Nothobranchius furzeri: one gene and its partners. The main gene of each other region encodes a partner of the protein of the gene in region 2 in a complex. Links are inferred from orthologs where the notes say so. Each region holds a gene or a part of one and is shown on either strand. Other genes may lie near its edges.

What was found. The genes of interacting proteins can lie anywhere in the genome.
Region 1: gtf2h5 (region 2) and gtf2a1 share a complex: the UniProt entries of both Homo sapiens proteins name them as parts of the TBP-based Pol II pre-initiation complex. The link is inferred for Nothobranchius furzeri from reciprocal best matches to the Homo sapiens genes GTF2H5 and GTF2A1.
Region 3: gtf2h5 (region 2) and polr2k share a complex: the UniProt entries of both Homo sapiens proteins name them as parts of the TBP-based Pol II pre-initiation complex. The link is inferred for Nothobranchius furzeri from reciprocal best matches to the Homo sapiens genes GTF2H5 and POLR2K.

What each region holds. Positions count from the first base shown.
Region 1 is NC_091742.1:19,634,382-19,643,429, forward strand, and holds the start of gtf2a1 (transcription initiation factor IIA subunit 1), read left to right. Parts: upstream 1-4,698; 5' UTR 4,699-5,676; coding exon 5,677-5,706; intron 5,707-6,172; exon of another isoform or gene 6,173-6,288; intron 6,289-6,945; exon of another isoform or gene 6,946-7,073; intron 7,074-9,048. Other genes in the region: N-acetyl-D-glucosamine kinase, read right to left, coding at 3,350-3,549, 3,630-3,708, 3,789-3,886, 3,959-4,046, 4,116-4,286. UniProt on the Homo sapiens protein: TFIIA is a component of the transcription machinery of RNA polymerase II and plays an important role in transcriptional activation. TFIIA in a complex with TBP mediates transcriptional activity.
Region 2 is NC_091742.1:2,691,717-2,698,989, reverse strand, and holds gtf2h5 (general transcription factor IIH subunit 5), read left to right. Parts: upstream 1-3,984; 5' UTR 3,985-4,124; intron 4,125-4,315; 5' UTR 4,316-4,340; coding exon 4,341-4,375; intron 4,376-4,473; coding exon 4,474-4,654; 3' UTR 4,655-4,789; downstream 4,790-7,273. Other genes in the region: protein SERAC1, read left to right, coding at 881-1,043, 1,169-1,319, 1,422-1,563, 1,693-1,793, 2,025-2,122, 2,271-2,453, 2,538-2,681, 2,796-2,932. UniProt on the Homo sapiens protein: Component of the general transcription and DNA repair factor IIH (TFIIH) core complex, which is involved in general and transcription-coupled nucleotide excision repair (NER) of damaged DNA and, when complexed to CAK, in RNA transcription by RNA polymerase II.
Region 3 is NC_091759.1:1,437,756-1,445,259, forward strand, and holds polr2k (DNA-directed RNA polymerases I, II, and III subunit RPABC4), read left to right. Parts: upstream 1-4,483; 5' UTR 4,484-4,615; intron 4,616-4,819; 5' UTR 4,820-4,825; coding exon 4,826-4,886; intron 4,887-5,141; coding exon 5,142-5,234; intron 5,235-5,335; coding exon 5,336-5,358; 3' UTR 5,359-5,454; downstream 5,455-7,504. Other genes in the region: stk3 (serine/threonine-protein kinase 3), read right to left, coding at 1,507-1,705, 1,781-1,906, 1,990-2,127, 2,208-2,375, 2,470-2,634, 2,724-2,838, 2,936-3,064, 3,154-3,234 and 1 more. UniProt on the Homo sapiens protein: DNA-dependent RNA polymerase catalyzes the transcription of DNA into RNA using the four ribonucleoside triphosphates as substrates.

The sequences.
Region 1 (9,048 bases), about 17 Mb from region 2:
CCGACAGAACAAACATCTCAGCTCTGAAGCCAATCTTCATCCGCTTACATCACACGTCACATGATCAGGAAGCAGAAAATCCATGAGATCATTTTGGGCCATTCCTGTAAAAAAAAAAAAAGTGATTTGCGAACCGGAAAAGCATCTGCCAATCACATTTCGACAACAGGTTATGAAAGAACGGGTAACGCTCGAAACACGCGGATTCTTCCTTATGTAAGAGGTGAATCTCCTCTTTCTTTTGGTTGTTTTGGCGTCGATATCATCCTAGCGCACAACGTTCTGTCACTCTTAAAAAAACAGTAAAAATGGCGAGAAACGCTGGCAGCGAAGGCCTTTAGCGATCAGGAAATGGCTGGCAGTGAATGAGTTAAAGAGCAAGTCACCTCAAATAAACTTTTTTTTCTGATAAACTATACAAATGCGTGTCTAATCGTGCTGCAGACACGTGTAGTCAATAGTTTTGCACTTTAGTGCATTTTAGTTCAAGTTTAAATTTTCTGCCTAAAACTGTCAGTGTTGTGCCGTTGTCAGGTAAAAACTCCACACTGCATTTGAATTTAAATCTGCCATCGCTATTGGCTAAGAGGTACCCTAGAACGTTGGCTGGTACCATATGATGTCACAATGTCGTTGTGAGCCTGTGTGTGTGTTTATTTGTTAGTGGCTCCGCCCTCTCGGTCTGCTAGGCAACAGCATTTGTTGCATTTTTCAAACAGGAAGTGGGAGTTGAGTAAGAATCTGGCAGGGGGTGACTTGCTCTTTAAACTTTAACTGTCTTGAGCTCAATAATAAATAAAAATACTACACATCACCCTTTGGGGGATTATCTTAGATCTAAATAAAAATGTCATGACTTTAAATATAATTGTAAAAAATAATAAAAGTTAAATAATTTCTACTGTGAGATTAGATTAGCCAATGGGCTACCTTTTTAGACAGCAACATTAACCACTTATTGATAGAAAACATCACAATACAGTTAGAAAGGTGTTAAAAGCTAATTTTATTGTTTAAACCCATGAAGTGTCACCAAAACGTCTTTATAGTGTATTTAGTTAAGAGGTTTTTTTTGGCAAACTTCCTTTCTAATCCTAATGTTCAACAGTCTAGCGTCTTTTAGACGTTTCTGTCGCCCCCAAGCGGCCCAGCCTGATCACTGCACGGTTATCAAAGACAATTTTATACGTTTTCTTGTGTAAATGCAGCAAATCCAGCCATATTTAACTCAGATTAATGGAAAATAATATATTTACCATTAGAAGAGCTGGTGGATCAATGATTTTTTTACTTGTCCTTGCCAAAGTCACTTCACTATTCAAGCATGTCTCCATGGTTAGAAACTGTAAGGTTTTTGTTTAGTTTGACTTTGCTCTCTAAATTGGTGTTGACAGGTTGGTCGTAAACATGAAGACAGAATATTTTTTTCATTCTTAAAAGTATTTAGTGGGTTTTATCTATTTTACTAGCCTGGCAAGCCAGACTAAATAATATATTTGCAAAGCAAGAGTTTGGTCTAGTTCACTAGGCTACTATTTTACAACACCTTGTGTACAGATAAATACCCTAAATCTCATCTCAGAAGATCAAATGATTGTTGTACTCTTTTTTAAATAATTAAAATAATTGCAAATATGGTAATAAATAAACAGCACTTATCATTATTATTAGTAAGAATACCACAATTAATGGAAATGAAACATTATTTTAATAAAATCTCTCTTAAATTGTGGTGCTTGTTGAGTTTTACTGTCATCCATCACCCTCTAAAATGTCTTACTGATGCATTACTCCGGTGGATCATTTCCCCTCCTTGCTCTTAACACATCTCAGATGTTTACTGGTTAAAGATTTTTAACAAAACACAAAGTTTCTGCAAATCACCAGTATTTTTATTGTAAATCATGAGTTTAAATGACCAATAGTTAGCTTTAGCTGATGCAGTGAGTGCTGGACCAAGTCAAATGCTTTCTGCAAGGATTCAACAACCTGAGAAAGTGATGTTCCAAAACAATAGATGATTGTGTCATCTGCATACAAATGGATATTAGCATCTTTAATATTTTGGCCCAAGTCATTGATGTACAAGATAAATAGGAGGGGCCCCAGGACTGAGCCCTGGGGCACCCCCCTCCGGACAACCCCAAGATCAGAGCAAAGATCCTCACATTTAACACACTGTGTCCTGTTAGTCAGGTAATTTGAGAACCATGCTACTGAGTGCTCTGACAACCCAAGGCTTAGTAATCTGTTTATTAAAATAGCATGGTCAACGGTATCAAAAGCTTTAGACAGGTCTATGAACAGTGAGGCACAAAACTGTTTCCTATCAAGTGCTACTATAATATCATTTACCACCTTCATAACAGCTGTAGTAGTGCTGTACCCTTTTCTAAAACCCGATTGACATTTCGAGAGGATGTCATTTATAGACAAAAACTCTTTTAGCTGAACACTGACAAGTGACTCCATTATCTTGGAAAGCACACTTAAATTTGATATTGGCCTATAATTTGTCAAAACTGCTGGATCTCCTCCTTTTAATAATGGTAAAACATATGCTGACTTCCACTGTGATGGAATTTCTTTGGAGTTAATTGAAAGATTAAAAAGAATTGAAAGTGGCTCTGCCACATAATCCGCTGCCATCTTTAAAAAATAAGGTTCTATAAAATCAGGTCCAGGTGGCTTTCTGTGATCTATGTTTTTTAAAGCTTTGTGAACTTCATGCACTGTAAAAGGTTTAAAGTTAAAAGGAGCTCCAGAAAAATTTGGGGGTATTATACCAGATTTTATCAAAGGGGTTCCGACAAAATTAAACAGGGAACCCACCGAAAGAAAATGTTCGTTAAAACAATTTAAGATTTCGAGTCTGTTATAAATTGGAACTGAATCTCTAAGAACAAAAGTAGGAAGAGCCTGAGAGATCTTTTCCACAGCAAAAGACTTGATCACTTTCCAGAATCTCTGAGGATCTTTAAGATTTTCTGTGGTGACTGATAGAAAATATTCAGATTTTGCCTTTTTGATCAGGGAAGTACATTTTTTTCTCAGCTGCCTGAAAACAGACCAGTCAGTAGTCAACTCTGTTGTTCTTGCCTTGTTCCAAGCTCTATTTCGTTCATGTATTATGTTTGCCAATTCTGGTGAAAACCAAGGATTTTCACGGCCAAAACATCACATAAAAGTTTGAACAATAAACTTCAGGTCCCACCAGTTCTTGTTAAAGAAGCTGCCAAGATAAAACAATCTTTAAAAAGAAACCTTGGATCAAATCACGTGCAAAATCATTCATGATTGAAAGAGTTATGAGCTCCAGTAATTCTAAAGTGGCCTGGTGCTTTAGTCACTATCCGCTGTTGAAGGTGTGCTGATAGAAGACATCAGCATTGGTGGAGTAATCCATACGGATGGAGGAACCTAAACTCTGAACCCCAAGGCTAGCTCCGCCCAAAGCAGAGGACTGCTGTAAAGTCAGGAGGCTGTAGCCATGGAAACGGTCCTTCAACTTGTCTGATGATGCGGCTTTTTCCAGAACCTCTGTGAACCCTGCAGAAACACATAAAACATGCAGATGAGACTTCATCCAGAGGGTTTCATGGACCGTTATTACCATCAGCGACACAGACCCGGCTTCAGGAGAGACCAGCTCTTCCACACGGAGCCCACACACAGGACTGGCAGGCCGCGCTCACACCTTAATAACGCCTTAAACAACAAAACAGAAGAGAAATGCTCCAGTTTCATACATGCAAAAGTGAAACCAGAAGGCTTGTAGGTGTGGTCACCGGTTGAGCTGCAGGTAAAACTGACTCTACATGTTTAGCCAGAACTCTGCCAACCTGAGCGAACACATGCTGGCTGAGAGCATCCCCAGCCTCCGCACCTGGGACACAAAACACTCAGGATGACACTCTATTGTCCTAGAAACCTGAGCAGAAGTCCTGCTGCTGCTCACCTTCAGCCAGCTTCTTACAGAAGCCAGCAAAGTGGGACTTCTGGAAGTTCCTGCAGAGGTGAGGAAGCATTCCCATCAGATCCAACACCTGGGAGTAATGTTTTAATTATTCTGGGTTTAAAAGAACAGATTTGTCTTTGTGTTGCTGCTGTCTGACCTGGAAGTTCTCCTCCATGGCTTCTGTAACCCATGTGATGTCATAAGGAGGCGCCACCAAGTTGTCTTGAGCGTCAAACACCGTCTTCACGGCCAAACGAGCGATCCAGAAAGCTGAAGAAGAGATATGATTAAGATCACTGTGGTAACCACTGTGCCGTGCTGCGACCATGCTGACCACAGCCCTGCTGCTTCAAGGTCAAGAGCTGAGTCCGGTTGCAGGCCTCCTGCGACCATGCGCGAAGCGTTAAAATATGCCCTTCATGTCTTGGATGAAGACCCATCAAAGACTAACAGAGTTCTTCTCCTCTCTTCTGCAGAACAGAGTGCACATCCTCCTGCACCTGTTGAACCTGCACATGACTCAGTCGCAACGACGAGTCCTCCAAAACTGAAACATGCCCCAACGGTGTGTCCTGTGGCAACTGTGAGGTTTGGTGAGGTTGCTTCCGTTAGCTCTAAACCTCGAGCATCCAATGCACCTGTTAGCAGGTCAGGTAATCCTTACTTACCAGACAAACCTCCACTTAAGTTTTTCTGTGATATCATCCGTAAAGCTCCCAAGGAGAAACCTCACATCCCAGTGAACCTTGTGGGATCGCTTGGCTGTGGGGCTATCCTGGACTCTGGTTCGGACCTCACCATCATGTCCCGTTCTCTCTGGGAGAGTGTCTGCTTGGCTGCGTGCAGCTGAACAGGGTCGTGTCTTAACGCTCAGACCCTGCGCCGTGGATCTCAATCCTTTAACTCCAGATCCAATGGCCTTGTCGTCTGTAGCTTTCCTTGGAGTTTCGGTGGGTGGCATGTCTGCGAGACACCCAGTGTTTGTGTCTGACATTGAGGATTTTCCTTTTCTGTTGGGCGAAGAACTGCTCAAGCGCTTAAAGCGTTTCATTCTACTCGGTGGATAATTGGATAATAACATTTTTATTAGTAAAAAGGCTTGGAGAAAATAATAATAATAATAATAATAATAATAATAATGATATTTAAAATAGAAATACCCTAAACAAATCTATACTGTATTATCCAATTAAAGATTCATATTTTATCAATTTAACAAAATATTCTCACATTTAAAAGCATTAATTATTTCTATATAACTCAATATCAAATTATCAAATACTCCTCCTGGCAGTGAAATCGTATTCTTTAGCGTTAAACTAACTGAACCAATAATAATGCAGAGCACGCTGCATTAAAAAGCCTGGTAAACTTTAATGTCAGGCTTTCCGCTTTAAAACTACATTTCCCAGAAGCAGCCACCCTGATTAGTCATCAAATTCCGCAAAAATCTCGCGAGATTTTCTGTCTGAACCTGCCCTATGTCTCGCGCACTCGCAGCTCCTTCGCTCAGTATATAAAGCAGGACAGCGGCGAGAGGAAGACGGCTGGGGAGTCGCAGCCCGGGACTGTAAATAAGACCGTGAAAACTGTGTTTTATTTACAAAAGTGATGCCGGCTGTTCTAAACGATCTTTCCCAGTTGTTTTAAGTCTTTTTTTGGTCATTTTTGGCTCTGTCTCTCGCCTATTTCCGTGTGGTTTTTACACTACGCGTATAATGGCGAGCTCGGCTAACTCGAACCCAGTGGTAAGGATCAATCTCAACGGACTGCCAGTCGGGGGAAACGGGGGTAAAGTTGTCTAGAGGATGTGGAGGAGATGGGTTTTTTTCAGATGAATATGCTTGAACTAGCTCATCACTCCTGAGTGAAATTATAAAGGAAATACTAACTTTGAATAAGCCATAATTCGAAACTAGATATTCAAATGAAAACATGGCACTGAAGAAGCTTCTGCCGAGGCAAGTTTTGAATGATTTTACATTAAATAATGCTGGTTAAAGTGAAAATTTGTAATTACTTCAGGTTGAGACTTTGTTTAGCGCTAGTGTGATTTATCAGTGGCTGTTACGAGTCTTGGTTTATCATTTGGAGTCAGTGTTTGATCTTAGTGCCGTTCATTTAGCCCAGGGTGGATTATTGGACGAATTTGTTAGCCAGCTGACGTATTTGAGCTTAAATATTGGAAACCGCACATCTAATCAACAGACGTACCCAAAGCACATCGTCAACATCCACTTCCAAGTAAATTCAACTAGAGGATCTGATATTAAAAAGCCATTTTAGCGCAAAGTCTTGGACGCAGTCCGCGGCGCTGCCTCGTCGTGGTCCACCATTCCAGGACCAGAGGCGCAGAAAAGCGTCCCGAAACCCATTTTTGACCCATGATATCTCCGATGTCCTGCTCCCAAAACAAAGCCACCGAGTCAAAACTGGCAATTAAACGCATAAAACGAGAGCCTCTTTCTTTATTTGGCCTCATTTCGCTGAAAGAAAACGGCTCTGTGAGCGGGGCCGCTCCGTAAAATGGCTTCCACCTCTCCCGTCTCGCTCGGTTCTGGCCCTCCTCCCTGCCGGTGGCTGGCTTTATACCGCCATATTGGCTGTCTAATATAGACTGCTGGGATGGGACGGTGCTACACGACGCTACGTCACCGGCCCGCATATAAACACTTCACTGAGCTTTAATTTGTGGAGGAACCGACTGTCCGAGGGGGAGGGAAGGACGCACCGAGGTGTCCACCGCGGACATCGAGGCAGGGCGGTATCTTGGCTGGAAAGTCTCCGCAGACTTGAACGCTACGGTTGAGCTAGTAACGCAGTCCCGGCGGACATCTATGTAATTGTTTATGTTGACAGACGCGGTTGTGGATAAGATCCGGATGCTGAAGCACAGTTTGGATTATAATGGAGCTGTGAAACATTAATCTTGATTTATGCCAGGGGCGTATCTGAGATTTTTCAGGGTACGGGGCCCATCAAGGGGCCACAAAATTTATAGAAGAGCCAAGTATTAGTTCAGTGCCCTTAGGACAGGATTGCTTTATTTGTCATTGAACCAGCGTCTTGGTGCGATGAAATGTAGTTTCAGTACAACCTCTCCAAGATCAGACCGGTAATGCAAATATGTAAAAATAAGTAAGTGTGTGTGTGTGTGTGTGTGTGTGTGTGTGTGTGTGTGTGTGTGTGTGTGTGTGTGTGTGTGTGTGTGTGTGTGTCCGGTTTTAAAGTACTTTAAAGGTACAATATTAAGGGATTTTACAGTCAAATAATCATGTTGGAAAGAAGGTAACATTGACACAAATTTCATCCTCATGAAGTTAAAGATGTCATGAGCCGGACAGGAAGTGACAAGTGCGTCTGGTATATTTCAAAATAAAACCTGTGTCACATTATTTTTGCTGGCTTTTGTTTTATTATTGATGGCAGGGATATTAGTTTAGTGTATGATAGTTCATTAGTGTCGTTACAGGTGTGCCTTTAAATGTATTGTGTAGGACTTCCGCAAATGACGAATCGTGTCATGCCTAAAAGTGGCTTACTGCACCAGATGCTGTAAAATACCCATCATTAAGTTTGAAATGTGATAAGTTATGTGGCATTTAATAAAGACAAGATGATAGGTTATCAATAAACTTATAATTTACTTTGTAACCTGTTAAAACAAATGCTACACAGTAGGGTTGCAAATGTATCACCGCGATGTCAGTATGTGCAACACGCATATCGACAATAATGGAAATAAATCACAACGAAAGGTCAGCACAAATGTTTGTTAAACATAATGCATTTTGTCAAACGGAAGCATGATGTTTTAGACAAATCACACAAAGCTCTTCACCCATTTGGCCAATCGGGTCGGTTCTCATAGGTTATATGCCCACCTCGAAGGTGGACGGCACTTAATCTGGATGGATAGCAACAACCAGAGTTAGCCTCTATCTGCTGATTCAGGGATCTACTGATTGCCATTTCTTATTCATTTATTTATTTGTTTTAGAATATTTTGTTCCTGAGATGTTTTTATTTATTGCAAGTAGGGTTGTCACGGTGTGAAAATGTAACCTCACGGTTATTGTGAACAAAATTATCACTGTTTTCGGTATTATCGCGGTATTTTTTTAAGCGTGTTACATTTTCAGACAACTAAATAAACCCTGTATATCAGGAAAATATTGTCCTCAGTTTGTCTAAATTTTACCTAAAATGTGTTATTTTGTAATTATGTTGTTTATTTGTTAACATTTTCCCCTTTTGTCTTTAAAATACCAATATTTGCCCATAACTACTTATTTTTTGTCTGTTTGATGTCATCATTTTAAAAATATTACATCAGATGATACTCAGTACTCAAGTAGCCTTTAGATACTTTTTTACCCTTACTTGAGTAATAAACCCTATATCAGGAAAATATTGTCCTCGGTTTGTGTCCTTCCAGTGAGATTTGCAGATGTGGGAAAATGTCATCAGGCAGTAATCGTTGTTAAATTCATAATTATTCTCAGAGAGAGACCAACTCTTATCTGCCCCTGGGAGCCCCGTAATGCATAGCGTCATTTCAACATGGGGGTGTCCGCGATTTATATGCAGGTAGCGGCGCTGCGGCTGCTTTTATAGCGACTCGTTGCATTTTCCCTCAACATAAATCCTCGGATCACGCATTTTAGCTAAAACGCTAACTTGCCTTGCGTTGACTGTAGAGTTGTGGGTGATGGTCACGCAGATGTGTCATGAGATTTGAAGCGTTGCTGCCTTTCACAGACATTTTTTCTGCACGTGCTGCAAACAGGATAGCCGTCTTCTGTCAACTGTCCCTCGGCTTTCTTCAAATATCCAAAAAACGTCCGTACTTCCCACTTTGTCTTCTTTGAGGGATAATAAATGTCCTGAGCGCTGCCGTCTCCTCCTTTGGCCATTATTTCAGCTTTAGCTTCAAAAAAGTTTTGGTTGTAAACAACAAAGTGCGCATGTGCCGCCGGCAACTTCAGCAGATGATACGGTAGCTGGTAAGGGTCACCGCGCCTACACCGCAGCCACAGTAATCCACCGAGATAATATAGTTTTTGAAAAACAAGACGGTTATTATTGTC
Region 2 (7,273 bases):
GTGGGGGGCTGGTGCATATCATCAGCAGTCTTTGGGCAAACAGGCCATACAGAAAGACCCCAGGCTGGGATGCAAACCTGGGACCCCCCTGCTGCAAGGTTACAGTGCTAACCACTGTGTTGCTGTGCAGCCCAATGAATAGTGTGATACAGACATTTTTTCTTTCTTTTTACATCTGTATCTTTGTAGTCCTGCATTTTGCAGCATAGCTTGTCACTCAGACCCCAAATTTTGAATTAGGACTCCACCAGACGTTGCCAGTTCTGACTGGCATCCTCTCCCATCACCGAAGCCAACCCATCACCAGGTGGTGGTCAGTTGAAAGCTCCATCCCTCTCTTCACCTGAGTGTCTAAGACATGTGGCAGCAGATCAGATGAGTCGACGACAAAGTCAATCATCAAGCTGCAGTCTAAGGTATCCTGGTGCTAAGAGTACACATGGACACCATTATTCCTGAACATGGTGTCCATTATGGACAATCCGTGACAAGCACAAAAGTCCAATAAAAACACCACTCAGATCATGGGGCCATTCCTCCTAACCACACCTCTCTGAGTCTCGCTGTCATTTCCCATGTGAGCGTTAAAGTCCTCCAGCAGAACACCAAAAGGACCCCCAAGGACTCCAAAAGAGTGGGTAAACTGACCTGCAGTTTGGTGCATATGCACAAACTACAGTCAGGATCCGTCCCCTCACACACAGGGGGACGGAAGTCCCTGGGACCTGTCTGCCATGGGTCACCTACAAGAGACATGAAGCGCCAGACAACTAAGCTCTTAGGATCATCGGACACTCAGTCCCTTCCACCACGATAAGGTGTTATAGCTACGGTTTTTAATCCTCTGTAATTGACATTACTTTCTACATTTGGTCTGCAGGTACAGAGCCACTGTGACCTTATTGTTTCAAATGGGGGTCTACCTCTCCTTCAGAGACTGTACCAGCTCCGGAGGGAATCCCTAAAGATTCAGAGAAACATTGTTCGCATTATAGGAAACCTGGCTCTAAATGAAGGTGTCCACCAGGCCATATTCCAGTCTGGTAAGTGTGTAATAAATCCAAATATGCAATATGTTGTTGTTTTTTATTTGTTGTAATAGTCTCTGCTTGAAAATTGACATTATAATGAGTGTAATCGTGTTTTTTCATCTTTAAACCACCTTCAGGCTGGCTGCCTGTGTTGGCTGAGATGATGCAGTCTCCTCACATCATGCAGGCGTCTCATGCAGCTCGAGCTCTGGCCAACCTGGACAGAGATACAGTAACAGAAAAATACCAGGACGGTGTCTACATCCTCCACCCACAAACACGTGACAAGTAGAACAGCTGTCTTTTGAATTTATTCTCTAGATTTCAAAGCTTTATTCTTCTTCTTCAGTAGAACGCAACACTTAGCTTTGACATTGTGTTCATTTCCAGCCAGCCAATCAAAGCAGACGTGCTGTTTATTCATGGGATTCTAGGAGCAGCTTTTAAGACATGGAGGCAGAAGGACCGCAGTACGTTAGAGGAAGAGAGGGACGCTAAAGGCAGCGATGACTATACAGAGTGTTGGCCAAAGGTAACAGATCCTCAGAATTCTTAGAGCTGCACAAGAAACCAAATATGATCTTTTTTGGACAGATTTTGATGTTTCCTGAGGAAATACAAGCTTTAATTCTCATGTCTTTTTCTTCTTGGTTATCGGCAGTCATGGCTAGCTGCTGATTGCCCAAATTTGAGAGTGCTGTCAGTGGAGTATGACAGCCATCTGAGTGACTGGATGGCCAAGTGTCCAGCTGAGAATCAAAGGTGAAAATTTCTAGTTTATTCACTTATTTGTGGGGGAAAAACAAAACAAAAAAATGGCTAAATAGGAATTGAATCTAACTTTGTCCAGCAATTATCTTATTCTGCATAATTTATCCTACATCCTTACCTTTTATATCGTCATATTAAGTAAATTAAGTTACAATTTCATGTGATTTTTTTAGTAAACCCAGTCGATTGAGTGGAGGATTAGTTGTCTGTTTGTCTTTCCAGGAAGTCGTTGGCCTACAGAAGTCGAGAGCTGCTAAATAAGTTAAAGCTGGCAGGAGTTGGAGAGAGGCCTGTGGTTTGGGTAGCTCACAGTATGGGAGGTACTCTGTCTGTGCTGCCTTTACCACAAACTTGTCAGACTTTTACCCAGATTTCTGCAACAATCTCTTGATCACATTTCTGGCTATGTGCGACTGTTTCAGGAAAAATAATCAATCTGTGCTCTCTGGGATGTGACTCTCCTCTTAGGACTGCTGGTGAAGAAAATGCTGTTGGATGCTGCGGACGACCCAGACTTGCAGGGATTGATAAAGAACACTAAGGGAATAATGTTCTATAGTGTTCCTCACCGTGGCACCTTAATGGCAGAGTACTCTGTGAATGTCAGATACCTTCTATTTCCTTCTATAGAAGTCAGAGAACTCTGCAAAGGTGAGGGCTGTGATCATTCCTTCTAAAATGGCTTGAATTAAATAGTTTGTTGTCTGCAATGAGTCGATGTCTGTGTGTTCAAAGACTCCCCAGCTCTGCGTAACCTGAATGAGGGTTTTCTGAAAATTGCCAAAGAAAATGAAATCAAAGTGCTGAGCTTTGCAGAGACGTTGCCCACAAATATTGGTCCTATGATTAAGATATTTGTGGTCCCAACTCAGTCAGCAGGTATGTAAGATACAGTGGGGAAAAGTCAATGAGCTATACTTTTGATAAAATAATAAAAATCTGTCATCCAGTTTCTTACCTTCTCTTTTTGAGTAATCTCTCGTTTTGTTCCAGATCTGGGCATCGGAGAGCTCATTCAGGTGGATGTGGATCACCTGAACATCTGCAAACCAGAGAAGAAGGACTCGTTTCTCTACAGACGCAGCCTCCAGTTCATCCAGGAAGCACTCCAGAGATACACAAGCCAATAAAAGACATACAAGCACATCAGTAGTGACATTAAATTGTTTACTTGAAGTTTGAGGAACACTGAGTCCTTCCACCAACAAACTCAAAACCCCAAACCTCTTTTTGTACACGTTTACAACCATAATGTGAGATGTTAACAATCATAATGCAGACACATTTATTTCACACACTTACTAACTGTGATAGATAAACCCGAACCTCTGATTTGTTATCTTTTTACATTTTCCTCCCTTATGTTTTCATTTTTACCGGTCAAAGTCATGTTTCGAGTAAACTCATATTATGAGAAGTACCACCATCTTTCCATTTTAGACCTTGCAGCCACAACAAATATATATTTACTTAAAGATGCATTTTTAAAAACTGCTTCTATGTAGTTTTGATCAGAGTAATGGTTGAAATGTTATTTTTGTATTCATTCATTCTACTGAAACGTGTTGTTTTTTGTGCCAAATGGATTATTTGCCAAGCCTTTTTTAAAATGGCCCTGATTTAATATATTAGGTCAACTCTATTAATTTTATTACATTAATTATGCATCACAATGGGCCAACATATACTAGAAATGAGAATAAATCAAATGAATGAGTACATTTGTTGAGTTTGACTTGTCTATGCATTCATTAAATGATGTATTAAAATACTGAATACAACAGAATTGTTAAATGGAAATCGTTTGGTGTTTATTTTCTAACTTAATCTGACAAAAAGTAATTTAACAAGCATCCATTGCAAAATAGTTAAAAACAAATGTACATGTGCAATACTCACACACACATGCATACGTACGCATGTATACATATGTATGTATGCATGTACATACACGTACACGTTTGTTCAGAAATCTTGCATTATAGATCACTTGGTGGAATTGGGCTGGGAGTAAAGCACAGGAGCGTCAAATATTTTTAATAACAATTTTTCAAAAATCACAGTGAAATCGTTATAATATAAGCAGATAATTACGTGAAATGTACCAGATAGCGTGGAAGAACATGTTAAACGGAAGTGGCAAAAATGCGCATCCTTCAATGCTATAGTGGTAGAGGAAGATTGTCCCTGGTTGCTCGCCGTAGATCTTACCTCAATGCTACGGAACTTAGCTTAAAAAGCAGCTGCTGTTGGGTCTGAACGAGTAGTTTTACACGATTTCTTACCAACTTTAGTGTTCTCCCGAACATTGTGGTTGTTGTGGTAAGTTTTAATTAGAACGTTTTGCTTAAAAGTGTTGCAAAATACGTTGTTAGCTTGTTATTTTTAGCTTGTTTACTATTTCTCATGAATTTTCTCTGTACATTAACTGTCCGGTATGAATATGTGTTGTATATGCATACAGTATTTATGTTACTGTCGCAACATTTTTGCACGTTTTGTTTATTTTGCAGACTTTAATCAACTACACCTGTCATCATGGTGAATGTTCACAAGGGTGTTCTTGTTGAATGGTAAGGAACTTCAGAGTGAAGAAAACTGTAAAATTACTTTCTTCTGTAGAAAACTCCTACAATTATAATGTCTTTTTCCTCTCCATGTTCTGTTTCAGTGATCCTGCTATGAAACAGTTTCTCCTCTACCTAGATGAAACCATGGCTTTAGGAAAGAAGTTCATCATCAAGGATCTTGACGACACACACGTTTTTATCCTGGCAGAGGTGGTCCAGACTCTTCAGGAGAGAGTTGGGGAGTTAATGGACCAGAATTCATTCCCCATCACGCAAAAATAACCCTCAGATCTTTGACTTTCCTCTCATGGACTACTCAATTTGTTGTTGTTTGCTTTTGCTTAATAAAATGAGACATGTAAATGTTTTGGTTTGATAAAAGTGGAAGTGATCAATTGGATAAAAAGTTTCTATTTTTGTGGAGTTCTTTTTCACTTGTAGATGGGGAACAAAAATAATCTATTAAAAGTACTTGTTAATTCACACCATAATTTAACCAAATCAGATTTTTCATTTAATCTAGTTCCGATAGAAAAATAGAAAATCCCTTTATCCACAGTGGAGAAATTTGGGTTAAAGGAATATATGTACATATCTAGAATGGCATGCCAGCCTAGCAATTACATTCATGGCAGGAGCAAAATGAGAAAAATATGATAAACAAAACCTCACAGTTACCTAAGGCATTTGAAGAGGTACATTACAACAGAGTAATTATTGTGAGAAAATAATTCAATTGTTGTTTTTATGATATCAGGGATTCAATTAGTGCTTTCAGATAGAAACCAGAGAAGAAATTGACATTTCTCACAAATCTCATAACGTTAATGAAATACTGAGATAATGAGTTTTCCCTGTTTAAAATGTTTTGCCACCTTCAGTTTGTTCTATTGATGAATGAAATGACAGAGATACAGTTATAATTGTGAAAAGTCTAACACTAGACAGTGTCCCTAATGTTATGTTAGGTGGACAGAAACTGCAAATGTACTTTTAACATGTCTGAGGATAGAAATTTTATAAACGAGCAAATTCTACATCCGAGCATTTCAGTAATGTAACACAGTTGTTTCCTCCAGTGGTTAAATGACCATCGGACTGTCAGAGAGCAGCATGGAATGACAGAAAGAACAAGAAATATAAAGACAGCAGTGGTTCAACACAAAGCATTACATTGTTTGTGGAATGGTTTTGCAGGCTCTGGGACCTGATGATACCTGGACCCTACAAAGGTAGTACAGGTAGTCCTACTTCACCAGGATGACACATCTATATGTTCCATTGCCAGAAGGTTTGATGCATCACCCAGCACAGTCTCAAGAGTGGGGAGTACATTTTTGGAGGAGAGCAGTAACTCTCAAAGAGCTAAACAGGGCTGTTGAAGATCATTCACCCATCAGCAGGACCTGTATCTGTGGAAGGAGGAACAAGACGAGTACAGCCAGGTTTTTCAGTTTAAAGTTTTTGGTAACTTTTAATTACCAACTGTCTAGGTTGCTATTGTGCATTTTTTTCTTTCCTTCTAAGTACGATCTTATGTGTTGTCATGTAATTTTTATTATCTGTCAACTAAAGTGGCACAGTAGGTCTTTAAATTAATTTCTGTGGAAATAAATTGGAAACTCGACTACTTTCTTCTACAATCTGCTCTTTAACTGTATTATTTTCTGCTATTTCAGCTGTTAACTTTATTTTTTCTCTCCCCAGAAGAAGCTACAATGATGTTCTGCTGAGCTGTGGTAGCCTCATGTGGTAGCCATCGGCCTGAAAACTGCTGCTAACCATTTTTCCCTCTCCTGATAATAAATTTTTACTTGCTTTGACATTGGATGTGCTACTACTAGTTTACCCATTTAATTATAGATTCACTAGGATAAATACAATGAAGTTAATCTCTCACCAAATAGAATATTTACTTAGAAATCACAATGTGACCATAGAAACACTACTTCGTATATATGTTGTGTGTGTGTGTGTGCCTGCTCTGTCTTCTCCATCCCCAGTGAGTCGTGGAGGATGGCTGCTTATACTGAGCCAGGATTCTCTGAAGGTTTCTTCCTGTTAAAAGGGAGTTTTCCTCTCCACTGTCGCTATATGCTTGCTTAGTATGAGGATTGCTGTATAGTCACTGACACTAATCAGTGACTTGATGCAGTTTGCTGGGTTCCTTATATAGGAAACATTTTTTCTGATTGGCTTAATGAACTGACCTGAATTGGAATGTTTAAGTGAAGTGCCTTGAGATGACTCTTGTCGTGATTTGGCGCTATATAAATAAACGAATTGAATTGAATTTCTGAAATACGACATGATTTGAGAAACTCTGCTTCTTCACATGGTTTTATTTATACTTTTTACATCAATTTAAACTTTATGCAGCACTCATGTCTCCCTAAACCTCAGTTTAAGAAAAAGTTTTCACATGAAGTGCTATTTTTGTATATATTAGTGTGTTTCTTTTTGTAAAAATGACCACACTTTCAATGAGTTTTAATCAATTGGTCTGCTCAGAGGACTAGTTTTTGTCATGTGTTTGCATTCATGACCTTGTCATGAGCGGGTGTTCCACCAAGGCAAATTATTGTCTCACTGCAAAAAATTGATATTTTCACTGATATTTTATAGTGTAAATGCACTGTTCAAAATGTAGTTTGTGTTGTTGCGCCCTCTCCTGGTTGAAAATAAAATGATCAGACGACAAAATGAAAAACTAAAAGCCACATTCAAGAGAACAAACAATGACTTTGAAAGTACTGATCAGAGATTATCTTTGGGTTGATTTTGCAAAAAGATTTGTCAAAACAATTTCTGAGTTACAGATAGTCATCGACTGTCACCAAGGTAAAATTATACTGAAAAGTAGTTTACTCATTACTGAGAGGTCTGTTATGTGAAAAATGT
Region 3 (7,504 bases), on a different chromosome or scaffold from region 2:
TTTAGTCTTTTTATCATGGGGTTCTACAAAAACTTTGTTTTTACTATTGGAAACAGTTGGAGCTCAAAATGGCACAGGAGCAATAAGTGACCAATAACACCCCATAATAAAGCCCAACAATGGAAAGACTGGTTTGCCCCACCCACTCAACCAGGACATGAATTTTTCATCAGCTGTAGTTTAGGTTAGCGTTGGCAGCAGCTCGGGCTAGCGTTGGCAGCAGCTTGGGCTAGCTTTGGTGGCAACTCGGGCTAGCGTTGGCAGTAGCTCGGGCTAGCACTGGCAGTAGCTCGGGCTAGCACTGGCAGTAGCTCAGGCTAGCACTGGCAGTAGCTGGGGCTAGCGTTGGCAGCAGCTGGGGCTAGCGTTGGCAGCAGCTCGGGCTAGCGTTGGCAGCAGCTCGGGCTAGCTTTGGCAGCAGCTCGGGCTAGCGTCGGCAGCAGCTCGGGCTAGCGTCGGCAGCAGCTCGGGCTAGCGTCGGCAGTAGCTCGGGCTAGCGTCGGCAGTAGCTCGGGCTAGCGTCGGCAGTAGCTCGGGCTAGCGTCGGCAGTAGCTCGGGCTAGCGTCGGCAGTAGCTCGGGCTAGCGTCGGCAGCAGCTCAGGCTAGCATTGGCAGCAGCTCGGGCTAGCATTGGCAGTAGCTCAGGCTAGCATTGGCAGCTGCTTGGGCTAGCATTGGCAGTAGTTCAGGCTAGCATTGGCAGCAGCTTGGGCTAGCATTGGCAGTAGCTCAGGCTAGCATTGGCAGCAGCTTGGGCTAGCATTGGCAGTAGCTCAGGCTAGCATTGGCAGCAGCTTGGGCTAGCATTGGCAGTAGCTCAGGCCAACGTTGACAGTTGCTCAGGATAGTGTTAGCAGTATCTTGGAATAGCATTGGCTGTAGCTCGGGATAGTGTTGGCAGTAGTTTAGGGTGGTGCTAGTGTTAGCTCAAGTAGCATAGCTGTGGCTAACTTTGTTCTGTAGTTAACATGATCATGGCCAGTGTCTATATAATGCTGAACTTGAAGTTGGTTGGAACATGCCAATAGGGCTTGCGACCACACGTGATTAAGCATAGCATTCTGGAGACGGCACAGACCTTTAGGCTGCGAGTTGCCCACATTTCCAACCTGACTCCAAGTTGGAGCCCTGAACAAATTTGCAGACATGCATCTAAATTTTGCTGCTGCCAGCTTCCATCCTGCATGTCAAAAATTTGAGACTGTTGCAGATTGAGCTTGTGTTGAATTTTTTCCCCAAAGCTTTGGTTTGCCTCAGGGAAAACGGAAGGTCAGAGCAGACAAAGAGCTGCTTTATAGTGAAGTGGGAAAACAAAAAGGTTGACGTGAAAGAGCACGTTTGTAGCATCAGCAGTCACGAGGGCATGGTTTTAACACTTCTTCCTCTTTGGAAAGAAGCCAGTTTTTCCGACACCATCCATTTAAACCAAAGTTAAAAGCCAAGTTCACGCAGCAAAGTGAAAGAGATGTTTAAATTCCCCCTCATTCTCTCAAATATGTGCTCACGTCTCATGGATCTCTGGGCTTCCTCCTCGTTTTCATCATCACTATTAATGACCATGGTGCCCAGGTCCGACTCCAGCATGGTGCTGTGCTCAATCATGGTCTGTGCCCCGTCGCTCATGGTGCTGGTGGCTCGCATGGTCCCCGCGCCCTCGGTTCCAGACTTCACCATGGTGTGAGAGTCCACCTCCGTCTCGTCCTCCTATAGGAGACAAACCCCTGCAGTATAAACGTTTTACTGGAACTTTATTGGTTAATGCACGTGAACAAAACGTACAGAGTTGTCCTCTTCCTCCTCTAGCTCTCTCTGCTGCTCCTGCTGCCTCTTCGCCTTCATCTCCATGGCTTCAGTGATCAGATCTCTCAGGATCGTGACCGGCTTGGCCTGGCTGATGAACGGATGCTGCGTTTCCACAACAGGAAAAGGAAATTAAATCGCTCAGATTGGAAGCAGGATTGTACAGATGAAGACCTTCTTGCTCCAACCTGTAGTAACTGAGTTGCAGTTGCTCTCTGCTCTGGGTTTTTAACCAAACACTTCTTTACAAAGTCTGTGAAATCGTCTGACCAAAGCTCCGGCTTCCGAAACGTAGGAGGGGGGTTGGTGGGGATCATAAAGATGGCCTGTGGGAAATCAAAAGTGGGAAAGTGTCAAATGTTTTCTTTTAAAACCCTAAATTCATTAAAAACTAAAGAATACGCACCCTCATAGGATGGATGTCAGCGTAGGGAGGTTTACCCTCAGCCATTTCTATGGATGTGATACCCAGAGACCAGATGTCTGCAACACAGTTGTAGCCGATCTCCTGGATCACTTCTGGGGCCATCCAAAATGGCGTCCCAATCACAGTGTTCCTCTTTGCCATCGTGTCCTTCAGACATTAAACACATACCATCAAAATTCAGCCAGAGATCGACTGAAGCTGGCATCAGTGCATTGCTGCAAACATTTGGCGACAGTGTTACCGTAAGCTGTCCTGCAACGCCAAAGTCAGCCAGTTTGGCGTGCCCCTCGGTGTTGAGAAGGATGTTTCCCGCCTTGATGTCGCGGTGGATCTTTCTCATGAAGTGAAGATACTCGAGACCCTTCAGTGTTGACTTGAGGATGGTGGCAATCTCCTCTTCTGTCAGCTGACGTGGGAAAAAAAGGAAAATACAAAAGTAAATCAGCAATTTAACCTATTTTATGAGCCAAGCTGTAACTTTTTAGAAACGCGCACCGTTTTGTTTCTCAGCCTGATGATGTCAGAAACAGAGCCGGCTCCGCAGTACTCCATGACTATCCACAGATCTGTGTTTTTAAAGTAGCTGCCGTAGTATTTCACAACATACGGGCTAAGAGGAAGGCAAACAAACGTGGTTCTAAAAAACTGGTGCAAAGGCGACTTTGGACAGTCTCATTCATTAGAATTAAAGAAAGTTGGGGTGTCACCTGTCACACTGCTGCATGATGGAGATCTCCTTGATGATTTCCTGCAGGTCAGACTCCACAGGAACCTGCTTGATGGCCACCACCTGCCCTGACTCTTTATGAATGGCTTTAAATACACTGCCATAGGAGCTGATTACACAAAGAAATGCATCTTTTAAGTGAAACTACTAAATAAACTATGATTTACACAGTAATTAGATCAAGTTAAAACATCTCACCCTTCACCAAGTTTCTCTAAAACATCAAACACCTCCTCCGGCTGCTTGGTCAAGCTGTCCTCGCTCAGCTTTTTCAGCTTGCTGAAAAATTCAGCAAAAATATTGTGTATTTAACACAATGTCTCTTTAATAATGGAAGAAAGACACAATATTTCTTTATATATGCACATCAAAGTTTATTTTATAGAGTAAACATTACTTTCTGTAGGAGAACTTGAGTGTGTGTTTATAACTTAAGAGGAATGATGAAAATAATTGATGAAATCTAGATAAAAATACTGTTTAAAAAAATTTTGAGATATTTTTGGTCTTTGATCATAATCTGGATTTAATGCAACCTAGTATCAATGTACACAAATTAAACAGATAATAAACAATTTAATCCTACTGTCTTATAAAATTTAAATACATTTTAAATTTAATTAACTTAAAAGGTGCTAGCTTAAGCTAACCAGTAAATAGATCGGTCCAAAATAAAGTAAACAGTTACTTCGAATAAATTATGATTTTCCTTAATACACATTTAATTTATTATATATTTTTGAAGCGACAATGAAATCACCCCCAACGACGCGAAATCCAAAAACGTCTAAACAATTAAACAAACCATAATCTCAATGGAGGTTTTAACCGGTTTTGTGTTTTTACTTTCTGCTTGTTTATCTCTGTGGAAAGTTTGAGAGAACTGAATTCGCTTAGCATTAGCATCCTGAGCTACCGCCTACATTAGCCTGGTGGTAAAGCAGAGGTCTCAAAGCAAACGTTCACAAACCTTTTAGGCGCGGACGGCTCCATGGTACACCAACTCGGAAACAAAAGTCAAACAAAGTATGAAAAAGAGAGCGCGGGTTTGTCAGTGGTAGTCAAGACGTGGACATTGTCGGCAGATTCGTTGTTGTCACAAACTAGTGGAGGAGGGCCAGCTGGGGGGAGCTCTTCAAATGATGGACATTCTTGTGTTCGACGCTGCGACAGCGCCCCCTGTCGGGACGGAAGCGCACTTTACATTGTTTTATTTTACAAAAACACAATTACGAATCAGATTGACAATGTTTGGCTCGAGTCAAAAACAAAAACTCTAAATAAAGTCTAATTTATTCATAAGGTCCCAAAAGAATACTAAATTAAGCCAGAATTTGTAGCGTAACGGTAATTGAAAAATGAAACACCCGTGTTGTGGATTTGCTTTCAAGAGGATGTTGTGTCAAGACAGGAACATTTTTAGTATAAAATATACAAAAAAAAATTCTTTGCTTCCAATTTTTAAAATCAGTTCAGATGTGTTTCGAATAATTCACAATGCCTCAAAACCGCTGGGTGACAGTAAAGGCACGTAAAGCGTGTCGATCGTCCTGTAAAACCAAGAAGAAGAAATTTGACGCAAGCGCAGAAACCCAATCGTAAAAGCGGATGGTTTAGTGTGTGAAAACAGTAAACATTTCCCAAATTACGCAGTTAAACGGTGAGTCATTTCGCTTCCTTTCATCAGTAATTAACTAAATGCATGTACACGGTTTAATTTGTGCTCTGTGCGTATACAGTTTCACCAAATTCAGAGACGTTTATGCAGTTTTGAGCTAATGTCCGGAGCACCATGCTGTTTCTGTTAGCATGCTAACAAGAAGAAGGGTTGTTGATGAAATGTTTACATTTCTGTCTTTTATAGAACAAAATGGACACACAGAAAGATCTACAGCCGCCCAAGCAGCAACCAATGATCTACATTTGTGGAGGTTTGCTGATGAAGCAACTATCATTGCAATTCTTGATGGTTTTATTCACGAAATATAGAAAAGTCATCAGAAAAATACTAGTTATGACTAATTAAAACATATTTCTTATTAGTAAATATTCCATTTTAGCCTGACAGCATGTAAACGTCGATTGTTAATGTGTTTGCACAATTATACTGTTCTAAATTAATTTTGCAGCAGTTCTGAAATACATTTATATGTCTTTATAAATGTATATATTTTTTTTTTATGCAGAGTGTCACACTGAAAACGAAATAAAGGCCCGCGACCCGATCAGATGCAGAGAATGTGGCTACAGAATCATGTACAAGAAGAGAACAAAGAGATGTATCCTTTCTCTCTCTCTCTCGTGTGTGTGTGTGTGTGTGTGTGTGTGTGTGTGTGTGTGTGTGTGTGTGTGCTTATTTTCCTTGACTCATTGATTCCAGTGGTTGTTTTTGATGCACGATGAAGAGGAGTGGAGCTGCAGATTGATCTTTAGTTGTTGTTTTCTGTTTTTATTGAGTCTGACCTTGTAAATAAACATAAACTGGGGCTTCAGCTTTCATGTTGGTGTAGATTCTCGCTCATTCGGGTCGTGGCATTCCTAAATTGCACTTCTTGCTGAAACATCTTAGAGCAGCAAGATAAATTCAGCCTTTTTGGTTTTTGGCATCCGCGGTTTGTGTCAGGTGTTCCTTATGTTATTTTAGTAAATAATAATGATGCATAAAAGTTTTATTTTAGAAAAATCAGTTTGATTTGACTGTTTTCTTTTAAAATCCTTTGTGGCCAGCAACATTAACAGGATGAAAACTCTTCAGTTAGTTTAACACATCTGCTAAATAGATATGATCCACAGTCATTCCTGAAATAAAAATCAACCTTTAGGATTTAAATTCAAAGTTTTAACCACATTTCTCTAAGAAGGAAAATTCTCATCTGCTGGCCAACAATTCACAGATTCACCAATGTTTTTTGGTTTGTTTATCTGAGAGCACGTTGTCGTGTTTATTTTAAAATTTTCATAATCTTGTTAAATTATGGGGTCTCATTTCTAAGTGAGACTTGTTTTAATCAAACATGCAAGAGAAGAAATTAGTAACAAGAATATTTAGTTACGAAGAAGATTGTAAAAAAAGTGTCTAAATAAAATGTGGAAAGAAAATCAGTTTCTCAAAAACGTTTGACTCAAAAATATTTAAGTGAAGAAAAGGTTTTTGTTAGCTTTTACAAATTCAATTCAATTCAAGTTTATTTATGTAGCGCCAAATCACGACAAGAGTCGTCTCAAGGCACTTCACATAATAAACATACCAATCCAGGTCAGTTCATTAAGCCAATCAGAAATAATGTTTCCTATATAAGGAACCAAGCAAATTGCATCAAGTCACTGACTAGTGTCAGTGACTATACAGCAATCCTCATACTAAGCAAGCATAAAGCGACAGTGGGGAGGAAAACTCCCTTTTAACAGGAAGAAACCTCCAGAGAATCCTGGCTCAGTGTAAGCAGGCATCCTCCACGACTCACTGGGGATCGAGAAGACAGAGCAGACACACACACACACACACACACACACACGTGCGCACACATACTCACACACGCGCACACACAAAGACACACACACACACACACGTGCGCACGCATACTCACACACGCGCACACACAAAGACAAGTAATGTGTCTATAGTTATATTGTGATGTCTTAGTAAATATTCTATTTGGTGAAAGATAAACTTTATTGTGTTTGTTCTAGTGGATCTATAATTAAACGGATAAACTAGTATTAGCACATCGCACGTCAAGGAAAGCAAAAAGTTATTATCAGGAGAGGGATAATGTTTTAGTGGTTAGCAGCAGTGTGCTAGTCGATGGCCCCCTCCATGAGGCCACCACAGCTCAGCAGAACATTGTTGTAGCTTCTTCTGGGGAGAAAAACACTTACAGAGAAAATAAAGTTAACAGCTGAAATTGCAGAAAATAATGCAGTTAAAGAGCAGATTGTAGAAGAAAGTAGTCGAGTGTGAAAAGTGGTCAGTGTATCCTCCAGCAGTCTAAGCCAATAGCAGCATAACTACAGAGATAACTCTGGATAATCTATCCTATTTAGTTGGAGGCATGTTGGAGTCAGGGCAAGGGAGAGCCGTCTTTACCGACTGTACACTCCACCTCCCTCTACTCCCCCAATTGTCCAGATTTAGGCTAACATCAGATTTTAACCATAGGCCCTATCAAATAAAAATGTTTTAAGCCTATTCTTAAAAGTAGACAAAGTGTCTGCCTCACGGACTAAAGCTGGAAGCTGGTTCCACAGGAGAGGAGCCTGATAACTAAAAGATCTGCCTCCCATCCTAATTTTAGATATTCTTGGAACCACCAGTAGACCTGCAGTCTGAGAGCGAATTGCTCGGTTAGGAACATATGGAACAATCAGATCACTGATGTATGATGGAGCTTGATCATTAAGAGCTTTATATGTGAGAAGGATTATCTTAAAATCTATTCTGAATTTAACAGGTAGCCAATGTAGGGAAGCTAAGACAGGAGAGATATGATCTCTCTTTTTAATTCTCATCAGAACTCTAGCTGCAGCATTTTGGACAAGCTGAAGACTT